Linked DNA regions of Rattus norvegicus. The protein of the gene in region 3 interacts with the protein of the main gene of each other region in a pairwise test. Links are inferred from orthologs where the notes say so. Each region holds a gene or a part of one and is shown on either strand. Other genes may lie near its edges. The genes, in order: Smc3, Golga4, Traf3ip1, Smc2 and Sptbn1.

What was found.
Region 1: the proteins of Traf3ip1 (region 3) and Smc3 interact in a two-hybrid assay, tested with the Homo sapiens proteins (2 studies listed by BioGRID and IntAct). The link is inferred for Rattus norvegicus from reciprocal best matches to the Homo sapiens genes TRAF3IP1 and SMC3.
Region 2: the proteins of Traf3ip1 (region 3) and Golga4 interact in a two-hybrid assay, tested with the Homo sapiens proteins (2 studies listed by BioGRID and IntAct). The link is inferred for Rattus norvegicus from reciprocal best matches to the Homo sapiens genes TRAF3IP1 and GOLGA4.
Region 4: the proteins of Traf3ip1 (region 3) and Smc2 interact in a two-hybrid assay, tested with the Homo sapiens proteins (2 studies listed by BioGRID and IntAct). The link is inferred for Rattus norvegicus from reciprocal best matches to the Homo sapiens genes TRAF3IP1 and SMC2.
Region 5: the proteins of Traf3ip1 (region 3) and Sptbn1 interact in a two-hybrid assay, tested with the Homo sapiens proteins (2 studies listed by BioGRID and IntAct). The link is inferred for Rattus norvegicus from reciprocal best matches to the Homo sapiens genes TRAF3IP1 and SPTBN1.

Annotation. Positions count from the first base shown.
Region 1 is NC_086019.1:262,646,684-262,650,829, reverse strand, and holds the end of Smc3 (structural maintenance of chromosomes protein 3), read right to left. Parts: coding exon 3,973-4,146; intron 3,783-3,972; coding exon 3,591-3,782; intron 3,444-3,590; coding exon 3,266-3,443; intron 2,044-3,265; coding exon 1,937-2,043; intron 1,439-1,936; coding exon 1,367-1,438; 3' UTR 998-1,366; downstream 1-997. UniProt on the Homo sapiens protein: Central component of cohesin, a complex required for chromosome cohesion during the cell cycle. The cohesin complex may form a large proteinaceous ring within which sister chromatids can be trapped.
Region 2 is NC_086026.1:127,140,940-127,145,964, reverse strand, and holds part of Golga4 (golgin subfamily A member 4), read right to left. Parts: coding exon 4,194-5,025; intron 3,645-4,193; coding exon 3,523-3,644; intron 3,172-3,522; coding exon 3,041-3,171; intron 1-3,040. UniProt on the Homo sapiens protein: Involved in vesicular trafficking at the Golgi apparatus level. May play a role in delivery of transport vesicles containing GPI-linked proteins from the trans-Golgi network through its interaction with MACF1. Involved in endosome-to-Golgi trafficking.
Region 3 is NC_086027.1:99,519,315-99,524,894, reverse strand, and holds the start of Traf3ip1 (TRAF3-interacting protein 1), read right to left. Parts: upstream 3,720-5,580; 5' UTR 3,601-3,719; coding exon 3,478-3,600; intron 1,038-3,477; coding exon 969-1,037; intron 1-968.
Region 4 is NC_086023.1:71,621,954-71,626,978, reverse strand, and holds part of Smc2 (structural maintenance of chromosomes protein 2), read right to left. Parts: intron 4,898-5,025; coding exon 4,759-4,897; intron 4,083-4,758; coding exon 3,963-4,082; intron 2,407-3,962; coding exon 2,202-2,406; intron 226-2,201; coding exon 90-225; intron 1-89. UniProt on the Homo sapiens protein: Central component of the condensin complex, a complex required for conversion of interphase chromatin into mitotic-like condense chromosomes.
Region 5 is NC_086032.1:108,044,051-108,047,929, reverse strand, and holds part of Sptbn1 (spectrin beta chain, non-erythrocytic 1), read left to right. Parts: intron 1-43; coding exon 44-282; intron 283-1,240; coding exon 1,241-1,414; intron 1,415-3,089; coding exon 3,090-3,132; intron 3,133-3,879. UniProt on the Homo sapiens protein: Fodrin, which seems to be involved in secretion, interacts with calmodulin in a calcium-dependent manner and is thus candidate for the calcium-dependent movement of the cytoskeleton at the membrane.

The DNA.
Region 1 (4,146 bases), on a different chromosome or scaffold from region 3:
CAGAAGCGAAAGGTAGGACCACGGATAAGCAAGCCTCGCTCGGTGCATATCCCCAGCAGGACAGTCTGCAATGGGAAACAATACAGGACTGACCCATTACCTGAGGGGCAAACCTCGCCAACACTGTGCTGTGAGAGCCACGGTGTCCGTATGATCCACACGAACTGACCACACTGTGAAGCCATTGTGGTCACCAGAGGCTGAGAGGAGTGAGTCCATTCATACCTACAGTTCTAAAACTATGAAAATGACTGTGCAATCCTCGGTGCACTAACATCATGGACTGCACACGGGCACACATGGTGAATTTTATGGTGTGTGAATGGCAAAGCCAGTTAAAGACAAAGGCCCCCAAAGACCTCACGGTGAACGTGGCCTCAGCAATACAAGTTTACTTTTTTGTGGTCCTAGAACTGAACAGGGCTCAGCCGTGCAAGGCACGGGCTCTCGGAGCTGCCTCCCCAGCCAGTATAAAAATGTCTCTCTCCAGAAACTGCCCTGACTCAGCAGCAAGGAAACTGCATGGCTCACTTATTTGTGGCATCAGCATCTGAATCCCACTTAAAACTGCTTTCCCAAACCCATGACTCTGGTGAAAGTGGAGTCACATTAACTTTAGTGCTGAGGGGGACTGCAGAGACGGCTCAGGGGTAGCAGCACTGGTAGCTCTGAGTGGTCCTGTGTTGGCTCACAAATGTCTATAACCCCCCTGAGACTCAGTACCCTATTCTGGTGCATGGATGTACACACAGACAAAAATGCCTAAAGGCCTTATCATGCTGCATAACAGCAGGGCTAGCAGTCCTCAAGACTGCACCACCCAAGGAACTTCTAAACAAGGTGGCTGGGACAGCATTCCCTCAGGATTGACTGGACTAGCCCAAAACACTTAGCACTGTGACACTTGGAAAATTCAAAACAGATTTGAAAACCCAGTGATGTAATGAACAGAATATGGAACTGTACTTTTAGTCCTCTATTAATCGAAAGCAACGTGTTCTTATGCAAAATATTTATTGAATGTTTCTAACAATTACAAAGACAAAAGGCCACATTTACACTAAGTTAGTCACAAACCAATTATTTAATAGAAGCTATAAAATAATTGGGAATATTTAGAATCTCAAAAGATTTAAAATAGGAGGACACTTACAAAAAGTCGTGTAGGAAATAAAATTCCTCGACTATACGTAGAAATGTAACATTACAGGGGAGCTTATAAAATACAAAGACAAGTATAAAAGGACTGTGTATTCTAAATCCAAAAACTCAGTAATAACCAATTATTATTTTTAAAATTTACAGTTCCCAGGTACGGACCACATTACTATACACATCTTCCAAGACGGCAGGCGTTATCTTTCAGTTAACCATGCGTGGTATCGTCTTCTACAAAGTCTTTGGCCATCTCTGCTGTGATCACGTCGATGTGACTAACCTGAAGAACAGTCAGTGCGAAAGGCTGTTACGTCTCAAAGAAACACACACGTGAGAGCCTGCACCGCACAGGGTGGCATCTAACATACACAGCCTACGGCCTGTACAACCTTGAATCTTACACACCGCGTCCAGTGGCTCTGAAGCGCCGACTGTTAGGCTTCACAGCCCTGTCTGTTGAGTGTGGAAGGGGAAAACGCCTGATCCCAGCACGGCAGAGGCAGAGGCAGGGGCAGGGGCAGGGTTGCCCACCTGGGCAGCCTGAGCTACGGTGACTTGTTTGGGGGCTGCTGAGGACCAAACCCAAGGCCTTATGATCGCTAGACCAGCAGTCACCACCCACAGCGTTTCCTCTTAATGAAAATCAAGGTAACAAATGGGTGAAAGTTAAGTTTTCCATTTTTGAGGCAGACATCATTTAAATAACAACTTTCTAAGTTTTCTTTCTCTAATATAACAAAATCAAAATAAACATCAACCTAAAACCAAGTAAAATTACCTTATTTCTGAACTTTACACCGTAGAATTTATCAGCAGACTCAAGCAGTTCAGGCCTAAAAGTGGTAGTGATAAACTGGGCGTGTACAGCTAGTTCCATAATCATATCTGTGAAAACAAAGTAACTAATAAACCTCTTATCACACCTGAGAATTTAACAACTAATTATTTTCTGTCTACAATTCAAATCTGTCAAAGCCGCCCATGATTTTTATTGTCTACAAACTATCCAGTAGACTTTCAAAGCACAGACTGCGTGCCACATTCTTATCACTATAAGCAGACCTCTAGCCTAGTGGTGGTACTGGGGGAGCAGGAGGATCAGAGGTTGTTCTAGGCCACGCTACACGACACCGCCTCACACCACAACAACACAACCCTGAAATAGGAGACTTTTAGCACTGACATGGTAGAGCCACATATTTCTTGTACACACAAAATTAATGCTAGCTATCTTCCTAACGTCACTCCCTCCAAAAGCTTTCAACCTGTAAGATCAGACTTAGTATCTTAAATAAAAGATTGGGTGTTTCTGTACAAATGTTTTGCCTGCAGATATACATGTGTGCCCGTACCCTCCCTCAGTCAGTCAGAGAAGGGGTTGGAATTATGGACAGCCATGACCACACCGTATGGTTGCTTGAAGCCAAACCTATGTTCTCCTGCAAGAGCAGGCAACGATCTTAACTGCTAAGTCACCTCCAACCCCACAGCACTACTAACACTGAAAAGACAGTCAAGTTTTAAGGCTCTTGTATGAAAATTTAATGGAAAATTTAATTACTATCTGTCAAAAGTAAACTCTGAAAACAGTCTAATACCAAACTATTAAAACTATTCTGAGAAAGGATATTGAATATATACTGTACTCGCATTAACGAATGACTAAGGGCTAAGCGACATCATCATCAAGACATCTCAAGGAGACAGGGCTCAGTGCATCCCAGACTGGCCATCAACTGATCACCTTCTGAATGCTAAGAACACAGACAAGGGCGACCTTGCCCAGGTTATGCAGTCAAGCCCATGGCTCTGTGTGTACGCGTGTGTAGGTCAGATAACTTATGGGAATTAGTTTTCTTCCACTCCGTGGGACTAAGGGACTGGAGTAAGGTTCCCAGGCTTAGTGGCAAAGAACTTTTATCAACTGAGCTGTCTTGGTGGCCTCCCATCTCACTGAACCTGAAGCCCCTGGTTTGGGTTCGACTGGCTGGCCTTTGGGTTCCCAGGATCGTGTCTCCATGTGCTACCTGTTCACATGGTAGGCACTTTAGTCCCCATCTCCCCAGCCCACAGTTAAGTCCTCACTGAGTAGAAATTAGAACTGTACCTGACACAGCTTTTCTGTGCTGAGCATCCAAAGCTTGGTCGATCTCATCAAACAGGTAGAAAGGAGCAGGGTCACACTTCTGAATGGCAAAAATGAGAGCAAGGGCTACCAGAGACTTCTGCCCTCCTGAAAGCTGCTGCATTTCTCTCATCTCGCCTTGCTTTCCTGTAAATGATACCTAAGAGAATACAAAGAGTGTTATCACCTCAAAAGAGATGACACCATCATCCACCAAAACTAAGGGGCACATGAGCAGTTCAGGTAAAATGAAACATGAACTCTACTATGACGATGCTACAAGAAAAACTGAGTGTAGAGATTTTACCCTGATCCCGACTCCTGTGAACTGGTCAACTGATGGAACGCTGCTTTGTGACCCAGAGCCCCTCTCGCTCTCGCCGCTCCCCTCTCCTTCGTCCTGAGACTGGCTGCCCTCCACGTCTCCTTTCTTCATCACCAAGGTCGCTTTTCCCCCAGGTACCAACTTCTGGAAAACTTCACTAAAGTTCTTAGATACCTTAAGGGAAATGCAAATGTTACATATTTCTATTTGAAACAAGTATTTAAAAGCAAGCAGAGGTCTTTTCAATTCTTTCCGGCGCTGCCTAACTCCAATTCACATTACTCTGTTAGTGGCCTGTGGGTTGCATTAGCCCCCACACATTACATTCACCTCTAGACGGAGGTTGGATTACAGCAGAACGCACCTGTTTGAAGGTTAACTGGATAGCTTCATATTTTCTAAGTTCGAGTACATTCATCAACTCCATGATTGACTTGTAGCCCCTGTCCAATTCTTCCTGTCGCTTTATCAGTTTCTCCTTCTGCTCAGAGAAATTCACAAACTGGTCCAGAGCCTTCTTGTTGACATGGCTGTACTT
Region 2 (5,025 bases), on a different chromosome or scaffold from region 3:
CAGATAAAGTGCTGGCCAAGCAGTCCTGACTCAGGCTCAGACCCTCAGCACCCAGTAAAAAGCCAGGTTTGGTGGTACAGGTTTATACCCAAGTACTGGTGGGAAGATCCTGTGGGTCAACCCAGGTCAACCGTGGGAGTTCCAGGTTCAGTGAGTGATTGAGCCCCAGGAAGCAAGATGGGAGAGCAACTGAGGAAGATGTCTGACACGTGCATGCCGCTGTCTTAGCCTCTTACTGTCCACTGCTGTGACAGGGTCACTGTACATGCCATGACCACGGCAACTCCTACAGACGTCTACTTGGGGCTTGTTTACAGTTTCAGAGGTTTAGTCTGCCTTCATCATGGTGGAAGCATGGCAACATGCGTGACCCTGGAGCAGTAGCTGAGAGCCACATCCTGATCCGAAGGCAGCAGGCAGAGATCTAGTCACCTGATCTGGCATGAACTTTTGAAACCTCAAAGGTACTCCCAGTGACACCTTCTCCAACAAAACCATACTTCCTGCTAATCCTACTCAAACACCCACCGACTAGACTGCTGTTCAAATATGGGAGCCTACGAGACCCAATCTCATTCCGACCAGCACAGCCACACAAGCCGCAGAGTAGAGGTATCACATGCAGACTCGGAGCATGGGCAACGGTGATGCGAGCGAAGAGCTGGCTCCAGCTGAGGCTAGTACAGACCTCATGGAGAGCACAGCCTCCCTGGGCACCTGCACTGTCAGAGGACAGCACAGGACACACACTGACAGGAAGGGAGCTCAGCAGCTAGGAGATCAGGTGACCACAGCAGACTGGATGAGAGGACAGCGTTCGCTGGCAGCAACAGTGCAGTCCAGAGAGGCAGAACACGAGTCATGACTCTGTGACAAGGTCTTGAGAGTACAGCACATGCTGACACCATGCCAGGGACACACACACATCTGTCACCCTAACTACACAAATGCACTTGTGTATAACGCACATGCCTAACGACATGTGAAGCAAAAGCAAGTTTCCATTCTTCATATGTGGGAGGTATGAATGTTACCTGAAAGGGTGGCCAACAGCCCTTGCACAGGAGGTAGAAGCTGGTGATCAAAGCCATTTTCAGCAACACGGTAAGACCAAGGCCAGCACAAGCTACATGGGATCATGTCTCAAAAAACCGAACCAAGCCAAACCAAACCAAACCAAACCAAACCAAACCAAACCAAACCAAACCAAACCAAACCAACAACAAAAAGAAACATCTAAGATCGGGAGGGGGCTGAAACGTTCTATTAATACATCACGGACTATCATAAAGGACGAGGAAAGTGCAGTAGCCTATGGTCAGCATGGCTGCAACTTGTCAGCGGGAAAAGGAGGACAGAGCAGCTTTGCTCGGAGTCCTCAGAGCTGGCCTGTACCCCCATGCTGACTCACAGGGCAAGCACTCCATCTGATTGGGTAAACCAACTGATACATACTACTAAAATGAAGCCCCCTTTCTAAAATGCAGCTCTGAGAAGATGCTCACTTATTAAGTGTGCAAAGGCCATGCTAGCCATCAGACTGAGGAAGGACCTTGGGCAAGAACACACCTCAATCCATCAGTCAGTCAGTCAGTCAGTCCCCGTACACTGCTGCCCCACAAATGCAGCTTGCAGGGCTGCTCTCCACTTCCCTCCACAGCTTCCAGAGTACTGCAGCTACCTATCTTCCTGTTCCTCACCCAAGACCACAGAGGCGAACAGTCTATTCCCTTAGCACCCACATGTCCATATACAGAGGAGGAATCAGGAAAAAAAAAAAAAAAAAAAAGAGCTACTTCCCTCCCTGAAGCTTTCAGGCTTGAATTTTCTCACACACACACTAGCTGTTACCTTCTTAAAGTTCCTTTCTTGGGACATTTATGAAATGTGTGAAGGTAATGATGAATCTCTATTCTGGAACTCAATAGACAGTGTTAGGCAAATCGTTTAACTATACTAAGGTTGCCTTTCCTTCTGTATAGAAACAAAACAAAAGCACAGTAACAGATGTGAGAAGACAGAACTACACTCTACATCAGGTGCACTAGATACACTGGGCCATAAAACACTCCATAAGGAGTCACAAAGTCTTATTGAGCTCAGGCTGGCCTTGAACTCCTGATCCTCCTAACCCAGCTCCTGAAGTGCCAGAATCTTTGGCACCAACACATCAATGGGTTTCTTAACAATGCATTTATTATCTATGTGCCAGGAATTTATGTGTACCATGCATGTGCGGTGCCCACAGAGCACAGAAAAACACCACTCCTCTGGAAATGGAGTTAGTTAGCTGTGAACCACCATTCAGGTGCTGGGAACAGAACCTGGATCCTCTACGAGAGTAGTCAGAGCTCTTAACCACCAAGCCATCCCTTCAGCCCCCTGACTGTATTTTTTAAAATTCAGCACAAATTTGCAATTACTTTAATTTTCCTAATGAGATTTAAAGCTTACATGCTGCACAAAGATGGCACTCCAGATCCTGAGACTTCACTCAGTTCGATTGCATTTAAAGCAATGACCGTTGCTGTCCATCCCTCACTCACACACGCACTGCTGACACAGCCAAAGTAGGTATGGCTCTTTGGGACCAACAAGTGTCTCCTGGCGTACGGCGTAGTAAGGCCTGGAGGTCTTACAGAGTAACACACCACCAAAGAGTAAGTGACAGCATTGTATCTGAAAACATGCTTGTGGTCCAAGCTCTCCCTCTCGTTTATGGTTTACTCTATTCTGCTACTGCCAAGCCACTCTGAATAGCATCTACTGAACACTAAACGCTCAGCTGATAAATCCCCCTCTCCACACAGTCAAGCTCTGAAGTGAGTGGAGAAGGAAGGAAGGAGGTTGGTTACTGTTCTGGGGAGACCTTGGCTAGGCTGAGCTGCCTCAGACACAGGCTGCTCTAGTTCTCAGACCTAACCCAAGCACAAAGCCTCACTTCAGTCTCTCTCTCAGACGTCTGTGCACGAGAGAAGCCAGACTACTCAGCACCACCGTAAAACACTGCTATGTTTCAAAGAGAATGAGAACACAGTACATCAAGTATCTCCTCGTATCTTCTGGCCGTCCTTTGCAGATCATCCTCTTTCTCCGCAATCTTTCTATGCAGCTGCTGTGTCTCTTCTTGGTGGCTTTGCAGAAGTTCAGCTTCCACCTCTTGGGCCTTATCTAATAAAGGACAAGAGACACGTGAGAACACGTGTGTGACTATACGGCCTTATCTAATAAAGGACAGACACACATGAGAACACGTGTGTGACTATACGACAAGGACAGGAGGAATTTCTCATTTCAATTAAAGTTGATGAAATGCAGCAGAACAGGTGTGGGAGATGCTGCTTCTCACCAAAGGCAAGGGAGTAACAGGTGAGGCAGGTTGGAGGACTTTCCGGAGAACAGGAGCACTGTTTGGACAAGGGCCATTTTCCCTTGAGTTTAATGGCGTACAGTGCCCACTACAATGGAAAAGACAATAAGTTCCAACTGAGGGTCGTTCCCGCTGAGCTTAAAGCTGCTTACCGATGGTCTCCTGGACAGTTCTCTCCAGCTCCTGCTCCTTCTGTGCCAGCTGGGTGTTAAACTCCCGCATCAGCTGCTTCAGTGTGGAGCTGTGCTTCAACTCAAGATCCTCTTGCTCCTGTCTGAGTAACAAGAATGGACAGCGATGACTGCTGCCTCCACAGAGCAAGTTGCAAACAGGAAACAGGCTTCAGAAGAATGAGACCTCACTGCTGTTGAAATCATTGTGTGTGTGTGTGTGTGTGTGTACACAACAGTGCGCACACTGCAAGACTGAAAAACTATGACTACCTTCAGCACTAACCTGGGCTCTGGAGACCCGCTCCTTCCTACTTTAAACTTCTCCCAGATACACGTGCTACAGTCACAAGGCTACTCCTAAGAGAACAGCAATGAGATTGTTATTTAAGACACGCAGCCAGCAGCTGTGATCTTACCTGCAGCAAAAGCTGTGTTCCCTAAACGGACATGGAATAACCCTGTCTCCAGCCCAAAATTGTCATTTCTCCTCACTACTTAACTTAGCAGACTTATGTGATACTTCGGGCAGGTAGAAGTGTCTACATTATACATCGCATGTGCCCATGCGCCCACACACACACGCACACACACGCGCACACACACACACACGCGCACACACACACACACACGTGGACTTTGGGAACACTTACTTGAGCTTTTCCTCTGCTTCCTGCTCACATTCCTTCCTCAGGATGTCCAGCTCCTGCTGATGCTCCTTTCTCAGAGCTCGGAGATCTTTCTGCAGCCTCCCCACCTCCTTGCTCAGCTTCTGCTTTTCCCGCTCTGACCCTGCTAACTTCGACTCCAGGTCACTGTGCCGGCCGTCCATGGGGGTCCCCAGTTTCGATTCTATCACATGGGATTTGGAATTTTCCTCAGGCCTGTCTTCCAAAATTTCCACAGACGTATTTTTCCCACCCATCTCTTGCTGTGGAGATTGTGATTTTTCATATTTTAAGGTCAACTTTTCCACTTCAAGCCTATGGGCGTCCCTCTCTGTTATTAAGTCTGACTCCAGCTCTCTCACCCTTCGCTCCAGGGCCTGGCAGCTCAGCTCCTTTTCCTGGAGCGTTTTCTGGACAGTGTCAACCATACTTGCCCAATTCTGCTTCAGCCCTGTGTTGTTTTTACCGGTTTCTTCTCCCATGGGCTGGGACAGAATTGAGGGACACTTCATCCTTTCTTCCAGTTCTTCTTGAAGACATCCTATCAAAACCTGATCCTCGAGCTGCTTGGCTCTGGCGCGATCTAACTTCACGGAGAGCTCCCTGTGCCGAACCTCAGACTGCGATGGCGCCGCCTCCCGTTCGCCCTGCTGCAGCCTCTGTGTCAGCCTCTCTTTCTCAATCACACTTCTCTGCAGCACGCAGACTCGCTCCTTGCATGCCTTCTGTGTGCACTCTTGGGAATCTGCTGCCTCTTGCTCAGGAGACGCTGCCACGTTTCCCATGGATCCTGACACAACTGCTCTTTCTGGGTGTG
Region 3 (5,580 bases):
TCATGGTGTCTGTTCACAGCAGTAAAACCCTAACTAAGACAATAACCTTTATGAACTTTCATTGTTTACAACCAAATCTACTCATCCAATCTTTCAATGGAACAAATGGGATAGCATTAACTATAAACAATCTGGCTCAGGCTTTTGCTTCTGAGACATGGTCTGTGTGGCCTAGGCTGGCTTCAAACTCATGACTCTCATGGCTCCCGAGAGCTAGTGCATCACCATTCCTGGCCACTGATCCTGATGTACTTTTGCTTTTTGAGTAGGGTCTTGCAGACTTGACTGGCTAGGCACTCACTGAACTTGCAGCAGTACCCCTGCCTTAGTCATTGAGTGCTGGGCTTATAGCTATGCATCTCCACATCTGGTTGTAATATTGCTTTTTTTCACATTTCTTTATGTTCTGTATGTATATGTGTATAGATGGATATGCATGCATATACATGTGGCTGTAAAGGTGGGATTATTGCACACACTCACACGCGCACACATACATGTGCCTGTTCATGTGAAGGTCAGAGATTCACCTCAGGACACCATCTATTCAGTGTTTTGAGACAACGTCTCTGGGCCCTAAAGCTCACCCATTTCCCTAGGCTACCTGGTCAACGAGTACCTCTCCAGCTCTGGGATCACCAGTATACACGTCAGCCAGCTTTTCACATGGGTGCTGGGGGATACCACCCAGGTCTGCACGTCTGCATGGCAAGCACTTTACCAGCTACCTCTACAGCCCCTAATTCTGCTTTTCAGTAGATAAATCTAGCATAGCATGCAATTGTCACAAATGGGAAAATGAAACAAGAGAAGGTACATATAACTCAGGAATCCACCAGCCTTGCATTCCACATCTATCAGCGTAGACACGGCACACAGGAGTGTGCAGCCATATAAATAAATGAATAGAGCCCAGAATAAAATGGGCTCTATTCTGCAAAGCAAGAGTGTGGAGAAAGGGAACCTACCTTGACGTTATCTGACTTCATCTCAGCATCTGTGTAGAGGCCCTTCATGAAGCCAGTTATCCTAATCACCTGCCAAACAGAGAGGGACCATCATTCACCTCACTCCGTAGCCCCTTCACTGACCTCATCCACTGAACCCCACTGAGGAGAGGTCAGGACCCAGTCACACCTACAGCTCTAATCTTCATCTCCTTCCTCAACAAAGGTTTGATGCCTGGAGAACAGCCAGCTATGAGACAGCCAAGACTACCATCACTGAGCAGGTGTTAGGAAGTTCACAGTAGGGGAAGGAGGGCCAAGGGATACTGGAAGAGCATCCCACTGAGGTCAGAGACTGCAAGGAAAAGCTGGGAAGAACACACCAAACAAAAAGAAAACAACCACCAAGTTCAGTCCAACAGGTTTCATTAGACGGATGAAAGCCAAATGGGGTGGCAGGACCCTGAACCTGACGCCGCAATCAGTCACACTAGGCCTGAGAGGACCTGACCACACAACCCTTCCCCACTGCACTCAGACCAAGCCACGGGAATGGACTCCAGAAAGAAAAGGAGCTACTTAGCCTGAGTATCTGAAACCAGAAGCTCCTGAAGAGTCCCTCATTTCTACCATAAAGGAGTGTTCTCCCATCCAAACATATTTGTTCTCTTTCCACAGGGCCTCTTCCTGTAGCCCTAGTTACCACTACAGAAGGGCAATAATTTTCTGATCCGCCAATGCCCCTACATCCAGCCAGAGTCCTGGATTCTCAAAAGTGCAAGTTACTAAAAAATCAGTAAGACAGGTAACAGAAATAAATTAAAAAAAAAAAAGACATCAAGAATGTGAATGTGGTGCTTAGTAAGGACTTTATGACCAGACTTGCAATACATAGAAACATGTTACCATGGGTACAGGAGGCAGGCTTTAAAAAACACCAGCAGCAAGACATCCCCGCGTGAGTGTCACCTCCTCAGGGATGTGGCTACAGCTACTCTGGCTGCATCATCTAGTTATTAATTAATCTAGAAGAGTCCATCTCACAGCAAACTACAGAAAGATGAACTGCTGGGCTCGGCTGGGCTTGTGCTAGGTCATTTTGAAGAGACAGCTGGCTGGCACACAGACCACCAGAGCATCCCTATCTAACATTTCTGAAAACTCACTTTCTCACAGAACTCACAGAAAGGGTCAGTCCCTTTCTCAGACCTTCCAGGATAGGCTACGAATGCCTCCCAGTCTGGGAGAGGAGGCTACCAGGCAGCAGAGCCCCTTGGGATGTGGGTGGATTCCAGAGCATTTCTGGACACACCTAAGATTGACAGGCAAGGGGCCCTGTTCCGAGAAAGTACCCATTACCAGCTAAGTAAGGTAGGAGGCCAAAATGAGTAAAGAGAAGGGTAGACTACAGTGCTCAACCTCCTGAGACAAGAAAGTCTGTGAGGGTCAACACCAGGAGAGAACTTGAGCTCTGGAGACTGACAGTTCTAAGTCCCAACCACACCCTGAGTTCCACAGCACCCTCTGGAATACCATGCCAATTGTGCTCACCCCCTGCAGTGACACTCTAGGGTTACCAAGAACCCTAACAGACTCCACACAATTGTGACTACTGTACAGTGTTATGTAGCTCCCTGGAGACTCACTAACAAATGGAAGACATGCTCCTTGAAGTCCCAAGACCTAGTGGGCCTGGCAACCTAACATGGAAGGCACCTTTGAGAGCTCTTGCCCAGGCCCCAGACAAGGACCTACACCCTACCCAGGCCTCAAGTATAAGCACAACACAATTTCAGAACTCCAACATACACTCCAGCTCCTTAACAGCAACTTGACCCTGGGCCTAGACTCTGCCCCAGGGCTCTCCCTCACATACCGATGTCATCCCTGGCCTCCACCACCACCCAGCCTCAGCTTCTGGCTCCAGCCCCTGACCCACAAACCTAGACCCTGAACCAGGCCTTATATCTCCACCCAAACCACTTGACCAGCACCAGTTACTCTACCCTGACTCCAACTGGAGCCTAACCCTGACCCTGATCCTCAGCTGGACCTGCACCTCCACCCCTCACCACTCTCTCAATCCAGTCAGCACTCGGAGACTGACTGTCACACAGATCTCCCCACTGACCTGATCCTCATCTTCATCTGAGACTAATCCTCATTCTGACCTGAACCCTGATTGTCACCCTACAACGTCCCTTACACTACCCGGTCCCTCAACGCGACCCTCACGCTACCTAGTCCCTCATCTTGGCCCGACCCTAATTCTGAGTCTCACCCCAATACAAATCCTATTCAGACGCGCATCCTACCTCGATCCTTACCCTACCTGAACCCTCACCCCAACACTCACTCGGTCCCGCACTTAACCCTAACCTTCGACACCGACTCTCACCCCGTCCCATACCCTACTCCAATCCTCAACACGTCCCGCCCCTACTCGAACCCTTAACCCGTCCCACACCTACCCCTACCCTCACCCCATCTCAACCGGATCCTGACCTGACCCGCACTAGTCGGCGCCTACCTCAGTGATGATGTCGTGCAGGTAGCGGAACGGTGGCTTGTTGAGCAGCTTCTCGGTGAGCGGCGGCCTCCGGATAACCTTGCCCAGAGCCTCCTGCGTCCGCCGCACCACTGCCGCGTTCATGGCGCTGCCGCCCGCGACCGCTCGCGCCTCTCCTCGCGCACCGCGCCTCTGCCCGGTGCCTCGAGATGCCCGCCGTCCCGGCGCGCCGGTCTCCCATCCCACAGTGCACCGCTGCTAGCCACTGCGCCTGCGCGTGCCACCAGCACCGGGTCTCTAGGGCCGCGCGGCCTTGGCAACGGACGCGCGCCCGGCCCCGCCCATCCCCTCCGGCCTCTCTAGCTGTGCAGGAGGACAAGCGCGCTCCACCTCTGTGGCTGTTTGAACCTGAACCTGGCTCTGCCCGCCCCGCGCACCGTAGGGCGCCGCACAGAGACCCGGCCATTCCGTGTGAGAAAAGAGCGATCATTTGTTTCTAACGTTTACAGTAACCACTAGGAAAATAACATTTCACTTAAACTTGAAAAATGGACTTGACTCCATTCATCCCTTCATTCCTGTTTCCTGCACAGTAACCCCTGCCTTGGGTTATCTTGAAAATAATGCCAAGGGGAAGGACTGTGTCATTTCACATTTTCTGTGTCCTTAGTTCACCAGGGCGGGCACAAAGCTGTGAAGTAACTAGGCCCTTAGGCTAGGACGCTGCAGTTTTCTGCTCCACACACACACACCCCACCTCCACCCATGTCACCACCCGAGGCAATGTAGGAGGTGGCGCTTCAAGATAGGGGGCTGCTGCTGTGTCTAAGATCTTGAGCTCCTCCGCCCAAATTGGTGGAACCCCAATTAGGACATTGCTCCTGATCTGCCAACCATGGCCACACCCGAGGAACCAGAAACTTCTTTAAGAGCCCTCTCACTCTGAGCCCCAGCTGGAGTTGGTCTCTGAGTGGACAGAGTTCAGAGAGCAGAGGCCCTGCCTCTAAACACTGCCCCGAAGAACAGACCCACCTAGCACCTACCCTAGAAAGTTCACTCTTGGCCGAATCCTGCTGTAGGTGTGAAGTAAAAGTTGTGGTCAGCAACCGGCTTGTCTGTGATGCTGGACCAGATGGGAGCAGGAACACAGGTATCACTTAAGATACCTCTGACCTTGGAAACTCTACTGAGGACCTAGAGCTTAGACCATACAGCAAAGGGAAGGTGATTCTTTAACCTCTCACAGCCTGTGGAGGCAGGACAGTAAGTGGACTATGGTGGAGGCCCAGAATACAGGTCTTGGCTGCTCTTTTGGAGTGCGGGCCATCAGAAGGCCTCCAGCCTATCTGAGTATCCAAGTCTCTGAGGAGATCCAGGACAGGAAGTATTGTCAGCCAACCCCTCTGAGGACTGACCTAGGGGAAGCAACTTTGAAGAGTATAGTTCCATCTTCCAGAGCCTCATCCCTGCCTCTGGTCCAGCCCACCCCTCCATACTGAAGAAAGAGTGGACAACATTCTGGTCACCAAGAAAGCAGGTCCCAGAAGATGTAACCAATTCCTGCTTCAAGAAAGATATCTGGATCTGGGACGTCCCCAATGAAGGATACAGAGGCCAGCATGGAGCCATCAGTCTTGGGGGGGTCAGCAGAGTAGGGGCCTAAATCACCCTCTGAAATGAAGCAGAAAACTGTAAAGACTCATTCATGGTAGAAGGTAACTGATGAAGAATGGAAAAGGGGTTTCTGACTCAAAAGCCTGGCAGGGGAGGCTTTCAATATGAGCAGTTTCTGAGTGAATGAACGAAATAAGGATGGCTGTGCCTCACCCCAGGAAACAGAAGCCACAAAGCGAAGTGTCTTCCAGGCCCTACCTCCCCCAGCTGGGAGGCAAACATTTCCAGAGACAAAGAACTGAGGATGCTGAACCTCACTTCTGCTGAGAGCCCAGGATGTGGGTCAGGCTTGGGCAAGGGCCTGGATTTGGCTAAGCAGGAAGGGAGCAGGAGTCATACAGAGAAGATCAATGTAGCCTAGAGATAGTCTACTATCTGTCTACTAGTCTACTAGCCTACAGGATGTCTACTCCATCTGAATTCCAGGTAAAACATTTTACCATAAATTTA
Region 4 (5,025 bases), on a different chromosome or scaffold from region 3:
TATTCTAACATTAAAAATAATCAGATAGTCAAATTCCAATAAATTTCCATCATGCAGAACATGTATAGCTTAATCCAATACAGACTTACTTTTCAGCGACATTTTTAAGACCAGCCAATTCCTCTTCCAGAGCCTGCAGTTCTTTCTCCTTTGTCCTCAGCTCAGCTTGAACATCTTTGAGTTCTTGAAACTTGGTTAAAATAGAAGCCGCCTGGGACCTAGCACCTGGATTGAGTTAACAGAGGATTTGGATACGAAGTTACCATATCCTTAGTAAACATTCTTTTCTCAAAGAATTATACTAGAAATGATGAAACAGCAAACCCTGCAGTGAACTTATGATGAGAAGGAGTCTACTCCAATACCCAAGTCTTAATAAACACGTAACTGATAAAAAGCAATCCTTGGTAGACATGGTGGTAGTTTACTGATCAAAATAACTGTTCTGTCTATGGGATCTATCTTGCTAAGGCAAAGTTTTCACTCCAGACACTGAACTTGGCCATGTGATTTGTTCTGTCCAATGAAAATAAAACCTAACCCTTGAGCGTTAGTATATAATTTACCATTTGCCCTAAGGAAAACATGCTGAGCAGAGGAATTCTTCAGAAGGAGTTACGGTACGAGACCAGGCAGCAGAGTCAAATGACCTGTGTAAATGTAATATGTATGAGATAAACGAGCTCAAGCCAACAGAGCTATTATGTTACCACCTTATAACTTGGCCTGAGACTCTCGAGATGCAGGAAAATCATCAGAATAAACTGCCTTTACATACTGTACAGGCAAAGATACCCATCTAGCAGTGACAGTTTGAAATACTATGCTAACAAGGAAGCTCTGTAGTTGGATGGAAGGATGCCATTAGAGCTAATAAATACAGTATCATACACATGGCACTGCTTAAACAGAAACTCCAAGCACATCTGAAACAAACTCTCAAGACTGTCTTCTGCTTTACATTATTATCTCCTATGCAGACAGTACTCATTGATGATGTTTTAGAAGTGGGATACTTGATCACTTAATTAATACAACTGGCCTACACAGACGCTAAGTCTTGGGCTGGAGAAATGGCTCAGGGATTAAGAGTATTTCCTGCTCATGCACAGAAGCAGAGTTTAGTTCTTAGCACCCACACTGGAGAGCTCACAACTACCTACATGCTCCTGGAGATCTGATGCCAGATTCTGCCTTCTGAGGACAACCACACACATAAACACACATGCATCATCATATACATAAACGACAGCAAGGCTTTCAAATGAACATTTGAAGAGATATTAAATTAGGTGAAGAATACAAGCTACAACCAGACTTCTGGGATTCTAACTCCAAACTTGTGCAAATTACTAAGTTACTTAACTAGTGGTTTTTAATTTCTGCCACTACGTATCAGAGATATTCTGATTAATATACTGATATTATATTCCTATCTTAAAGTTAAGGATTATTTATGTATTCATAAATTCACAATATACAGACTCATATTTATATATTCATAAGGCTCACAGACTGGGGCTTTATAAAATTCACTATACATGTATTATCCAATTACGAGTTCACTATTTGTTTTAGGACCCTGAAAAGCAGCTAGTGCAAGTAAAAACAATTACTTTCATTTTATCAATTGTGAAGTCACATGTGGCTAGTGGATACTGTACTTGGGGTAACACTGTTTTCAATATTTTCTGGTACAGAATAATTATTCATTGTTATTATATTATTAGGCCAGAGTATTAGAGAATAATCATTACTTTCAATTCATTAAGGCACCATTTTCAAGATTCAACATGGATAACAGCACACTGCAAAGTGAGTTATTCAATTTCTTGGGAAAATGGGTAATAAGGCTAAGATTTTACAAAGTAAAAAAACCTTTGTGACTGCAACTGAGCAGAAAGTATGCAGAAGCAAGCCCCTATGTCCACCACTATCTGTGATGGTTTGTATCTGCTTGGCCCAGGGAGTGGCACTATTAGGAGCTCTGGCCTTGTTGGAGTGAGTGTGGCCAGCCTTCTTGGACCAAGAACAAACAGGAATGACTTTAGAGGAATGAGCTACTGAGTTGATTCATGATAATGGATCATAAGCCATTTAAGGGCTTTGACACTATTCTGTCCTTTAAAAAGCAACTGGGAGATAGAGAAACAGCCTCAGAGGCACAAACTATTTACCACAGAATTGTTAACACAACATACCTCCACTCAATGTTCCATGAGGATCAAATACATCACCCCCAAGGGTTACAGTTCTGGTCATTATTCTTTTATCAAAGGCCACTTTTTTGGCATTATCCATATTGTTACAAACAAATGTTGTTCCGAAGACAAATTCCATCGCTTTCTGAAGTTCTGGTTTGTAGTCAACCAAGGAAAGAGCTACATGAACATTGTTAGGACCAACCTACAGGGAAACAAAATATGTATCACAGGACACATTTCTTTGAAATATAAACTAGTAAAAACTGCAATAATATATAAATTACACAGTCCTAGTGATAATTTGTTTATTTACAGTAAATTTTAACACTGGAAGACCTATCACCAACTGAAACAGTTTAAATACTAAGCGCTAGGGTGGGGGTAGCTCACCCCTTTAATTCCAGCCCTTGGAAGGCAAAGGCAGGTGGATCTTTGAGTTTGAGGCCAGCCTGGTCTACAGAACAAGTTCCAAGATAGCCAGGGCTACACAGAAAAACTTTGTATTGGAAGAAAAACAACAGCAAAATCCCCCACAAAACACAAACTCCTAAGCACTGTAAGTTTCTTTCAAGAAGGCAATACCAAGTTTGCACATCTAAATGGCCTATATAAATACAACTATTAATGAAAGTAATCTCTCTATCAGCATAGTTACAGAATATTTGGTTTCAATTATTAGTAATTTGTTTCAGTGAATGCTTTTTTATTCAAATGAACTATAGCCACTTTCAAAAACCAAAAATAAATGCAATGACTAACCGAAAGGATAAAAGAACAGGCAAAGCCCTAGTCTTCCACTGCAATCACAGTCTCTTCATGCACTTTCCCATGTTCTCAGAAACTTAGCATCGTTATGACAAGAGCAAAACAACAATAATAGCACCATGTTCAGAACTTCTTTTGATCCAGCAGACACCATTAACAGACCTCGCTACAAACTCTAAGACAAAGCGTTCTTGAAGGTGTTTGAAATTCCAACTCACCACGAAACTAAAAAGCACTTTCAACTACAAGGGCATTTTGAAATTATTTGATTGAAATGTTCTCAATAATACTAAAGACACTGACTATCTGCTTAGTGTCTTAACTACCAATGCCATTTCTGGGTTTCACATAACTCAAACTCAAACCCTTATAAAGCTACTCTCTAATAAGCTCGTTTTGTTGAAGACATATTTGGCTTCTTCTTTAAAATGACTTTAAGTGAGTTGGTGTTTTCCTGCATGTATACCTGTATGAGTGTGGTAAACCCCCCTGAAATTCGAGTTAATGAGGTGCCACGTAGGTACTGGGAATGGAACCTGGATCCTCAGGAAGAACAGCCAGTTCTCTCAACAGCTGAGGCATCTTTCCAGCCCAGCTTCATGTTTTTAGTCAGTGTTCAACACCCAAAATGGGGCACTAGAGAGAAGGCTGTTCAGAATACTAGCTGTTCCTCTAGGACAGTTCTGTTCTCAGTACCCAGTCAGGCAGCTTATAACCCCTGCTCCAGGCCATCCAAGGACATGAGCATATATTCATACACATCCTTAAATAAAACAAATAATAATAAAACTAATTCTTTTAAAAAATAATAAAAACGTATGGTAAAATAAAAATGTATTTCCTTATACACATCTATTTTCTTATTAGCAGATACATTACAATAGGGGCCATCTTATCAGTTGACCAGAATTCTACCTGAGTATATCCCTTAAAATTACTATTTCCTAAAGCTAAAAGAAGAGATAAACATTTAATTAAGACAATAAGACTTACAAGATTCTGAGCGACCCTCAGAGTTTCAGGAGCAATACATCTGGCTGAAATCTTATTGAGAGGAATTATTGTGTATCGACGCTTCAATTCCCCCTTTTCTAATAGTTTCTTACCAGTAACCTAAAACAGACATATTAAATTGTAAGAAAAAAACACTATAATGGAATGTATACAAGTTTAGGAATACATTATCAAATAAATATATCCGTGGTGTGTTTTTCCCAAGGTAGATTTTCAAAGTATATAAAATAATTATAATTCAACCTTACTAAAGATGTTTTTGTGGGCATGTAAATGAATTTGATCAGTGTTTTGCTCAGTGATGTATGTCAGAAAAATTACTGTACAATGCCATCTGCATACAGCATCTTAAAAGGAAAAGCTGATGTAGCTAGAACAGGAGGCGAGGTGTGGTGAGGAGGAGCAAGCGCACAGAAGCAGGTAAAGGGGTGCAAGTCTGCAATCAGAAAGGGAACTGCATCTGGAAATACAATGTTTACGGAGGATGCCTTCTCCTGGCTTCTGTGTGTACACACACATATACACTGTGTGTGCAAGCAAATAACACACACAGAAATGTTACTGTAATAAAAACTGACAGATTATTTTACAAATGCAAATATAAATATGCACAGCAAAATAGAAAATAAATAAGAATTAAATTTGTCAGAAAATTAACTAAAAAGATTAAGTAGCTTGGAGAGCTACAAAAGCACACAACTTTTCCAGCATTACGTGATTCTTTTTTTAAGTCAGAGTATTAATCTTAAATTTTCTTTAATTAAAATCCATTTACCTCTGTGTCTACTACAACATTGTAGAGTCGTTCTCCAGCCACCAATTCCAGAGCTGTGGCTGTAGAATTATCTTTCACATTTATCAGAGAAGCTACAAGTCCTTTTACACAATTTCGATTCCAGTTCTTCTCTGGGTCCCTAAAAACAGAGAAGTTACCAAAAATTAATGTTAGATAAATATTGTACTATCCTAGTTAAGAGCTCCAAACAAATGAATTAGAATAGTTAGAAAATGTCAGCTATTTTCTAAATAGCAACTAAAATAT
Region 5 (3,879 bases), on a different chromosome or scaffold from region 3:
CTTGCTCTCAGGGCTCTCTGAACGGCCTCTCCACTGTCCCTAGATGGCAGGAACCATGGAAACAAGTGAAATGGTCAACGGTGCTGCTGAGCAGAGGACAAGCTCCAAAGAATCCAGTCCTGTTCCTTCTCCCACCTCGGACCGCAAGGCCAAATCTGCACTTCCAGCCCAGAGTGCTGCCACCCTGCCAGCCAGGACCCTGGAGACGCCTGCGGCCCAGATGGAAGGCTTCCTCAATCGGAAGCACGAGTGGGAGGCCCACAATAAGAAAGCCTCAAGCAGGTAAAGACAGCAGCACAGGGGAAAGAGGGGAGGGAAGTCACCCGTGTGGAGGGGGCCCAGCGTCATGCAGGATTGGCATTCAGAAGGTCAGAGCTTTTCATTCTGCGACCAGTGTGTCGAGAAGTGCTCAGTGAGGAGAGGAGATGTAGTGGGCCAGAATCGCAGGAATGGCCTGAGGCTTATCCTGAGGAGGAACTCACTATAGCGAAGTTGAACAATCTCCTACAGTGAAGTGACTTCTTTATAGGGTTCCTTATGGGATCCAGCTTTCACAGATGCTCACTTCTCTGTGTGAGTCTCGAGATGACTGTCTCCCACCAGTCTTTTAAGTTTATTATTTAGCTGATGAGAAAGTAGGTGCTCTGAGAGGTTGTAAACTGAGATGAAAATCACATCTGATTCCAGAGCCTGTGTGCTTAAATTACTATACACGTGGAGCATCCACCGTACATGTTGGAGGTGTCCACTGTACAAAGGGCTTGGTTACAGTCTGATGTTCTCGTTAAGTTAACGTATTCTAACGGTATGCCCCTTGCATACTGTTGGCGCACACCTGAGTCTAGCTCCCCCGAAGGGATTCCACAAACACTAATGACCCTGGATCTACCCTCTTGTCAGTACTGCACCACAAAAAAACAGTCACTAAGGCTGGGGGAGATTGTGCTTGAGAATAAGGAGCCTTGCCTGTGTTCCTGAACAGGAGTGAAAAGCTTCAAGGGCGACATGTTGCGGAAGGGACGGCAGCTCACGTGTCCTCCAACACAGCGCTGCGTCCCTCCCCAGGTGCTCCTTAGCCGTATGCACTGTTCCAAGGGGGTTGGGGCAGGGGCTGTTCCTCAGCATATGTTCATTTTATGTTGGAGAGGCTTCGTTTTCTTGTGAAGTTCTTCTGGGAAGGGTAAGCACAGAGCCTTGATACTCCTCTCTTTACTCCTCTCTCTCTGCTGTACCCACTCAGGTCCTGGCACAATGTTTATTGTGTCATAAATAACCAAGAAATGGGCTTCTACAAAGATGCCAAGAGTGCTGCTTCTGGCGTCCCCTACCACAGTGAGGTCCCTGTGAGTTTGAAAGAGGCCATCTGCGAAGTGGCCCTTGATTACAAGAAGAAGAAGCATGTGTTCAAGCTAAGGTGAGAGTTTGCAGGCTCGTGGCTGTCTGGGTGTGTTCATCTCACTGAGGTTGGCTCTCTCACAAAGGTACTGTGGTAGCCGTGTCTCCTCCTACTATTCTCAGTCCCTGAGAAAGCCTACTGGACTTGCTGGATTGATTCTGTGGGACCAAGGCCACTCTTGCCTGGGCCTGGTTGTGCATCTGGACCCAGCGGAAAAGGAGCCTTCGTTTCATGACCTGGAACACACTGTTCCCTGACATTGCTGTGGGCTGTTAACATTGCGGTACATAATGGGAGCTTTAAAAAGCCCATTTTGAGTCCTTCTGGCTTATGAGGACTAAGGAATTACCATGTTCGCTACAGATAGGTACTGCGAGTCATCCTAGAGCCTGAGGAAACCAACAGGAAGCACTTGAGTGGGACAGGCCATCCTCCCCAAGTCTTGCCACACTTCTGCATCCAAATGACTCCTCCTTGTGGAAGACACCCCCTCACACCACATCCACATCCATGACCATGGTGTTTGGAGATGGCCAAACCATTTTGTTTCTTAAAAGTGGATAAAGAAAAGGCAGGGTGGGTGAGAGGATGCTCAGTGGTAACGGTGCTGCTGCCAAGCCTGATTGCATAGCCTCCCTCCTCAAAACCCTCATGGTAGACAGGGGAGGAGAGGAGAGGAGAGGAGAAAGGAAAAGGAGGGGAAGGGGAAGGAGGACAGGAAACGTCCTCTTGTGTGTTATTTTTGACCTTCACGAGTGTGCATGCACATATTTTCAAAATACCTTTGTAAGTGCAGAAGTAAAGCCTCTTGACAGCCTGTCACTTCATGTGCTGCTGATTGGCTCTGTTGCTTTGGATCTGACGAGCTTCATCTTGGTTGGCCAGAGGATCACCCTGGGGGGACATGGTTGATGACCACATGCTGTCTTGAGGAATGGCCTCCCAGGTGTGGCTGCTTTCGTTCCCATGAGAAAAATCTAAAGGACTTTTTTTTCCATATCAGTTGGGCAACTCTAGAATTTGCAGATGTGAGAGACATAAACTCTGAAACTAGAATTTGAAGAGTATTCACCTTTTTTGAAGTCTTCTCCTGAATTTATTTTTGGTCAGCAATTAAGAATCCAAATGGCCATAACCAAACCAGACCTTCCAGAGGTTGGACTTTTTTGATCCTTCTGTTGGATTAAAGCACCAGATTGCCTGTGCATATTGGATTTATCTGGTAAATTAATGGCTTCTTATGATTAGGGACCATTGTCCGGCTAATGCCCCTCTCTAGGCCTGGTCAATAGCCCATGTAGAGCTCTATTGGTATCTCTGAGGTAAAGCCCACCACCTGCGTGTAACCCACCCTAGATTAAGGGGATTGTGGGGTTCTGTTTGTTTTGTTTTTTTTGTTTGTTTGTTTGTTTGGTTTAGGTTGGTTTTTTTGTTTTTGTTTTTTTGGTTTTTTTTTTTTGGTTCTGTTTTGTATTTTGAGACAAAGTTCCTCTGTGCCCTGGCCATTTTGGAAATCGAGCTATAGACCAGGCTTGCCTGGAACTCACCTACCTCGGCCTCCCAATTACTGGAACTAAATAAAGGTGTGCATCACCACACCTGGCCTGTATTTTTTTTAATTTATATTTTTTAACTTTCTAATATGAAATTGTCACCTACATAATTGTAAAATGTAATTTTCTTGAAATTACAGACTAAGTGATGGCAACGAGTACCTCTTCCAAGCCAAAGATGATGTAAGTTACTACTTGGTTTTGTTTTTTCACGTACCAAAGTTCATGGAAGTATTTGTGAGCTAAAAGAAGCAAATATCATCTTGTCCCTCCATAAGGAAGGGAAGCTAGAACAACATCCACTAGATTCAGTAGAAACGAGGAGCAAGGTCCTTGCCTGCTACTCCTTAGAACAAGGTACAGGGAGGTGGCCCAGGACTGAGTGTATCCTGATGCCAGTCTAAAGCCTGTGCACTGCACTGCATTATCATTAGCGTCTCCACCTCAGAAGACAGGGTCACCTCAGTGTCACAGCGTGTGTAGCAATTTAAATGTTAAAAGGCCCCTTCCACCACGAGAGATAACTCTGGAGGGGGCGTGAGGACTTGTAAGATGGCTTGGTTGGTGAAGGGCCTGCCACCAAAGCTGATGACCTGAGTTTGATCCCCAGGACATACTTTATATAAAGAGAGAATGAACTCTGAAAAACTGTCTTCTGATGAGTATAAACTCGTGTCTACACACACACACACACACACTGAAAAGGTTTTTTTTTTTTTTATTTAAGGAGTAAGAGCACTTTCTTAATGCGAGTGACGTCTCACAGCCTAAGATTAGCCTTCCAGCTTCTGTAGGTGTATATATCCCAGACTGACGGCCTGCACACAGCACTGGGGCCAGTCCATCTAGAGGCAGAGCCATAGCCACTCTGGTAGTGAGAAAGCAGATAGGCATTTAAGGACAGTGACTCTAGTTAGCGGCACTGCTGCC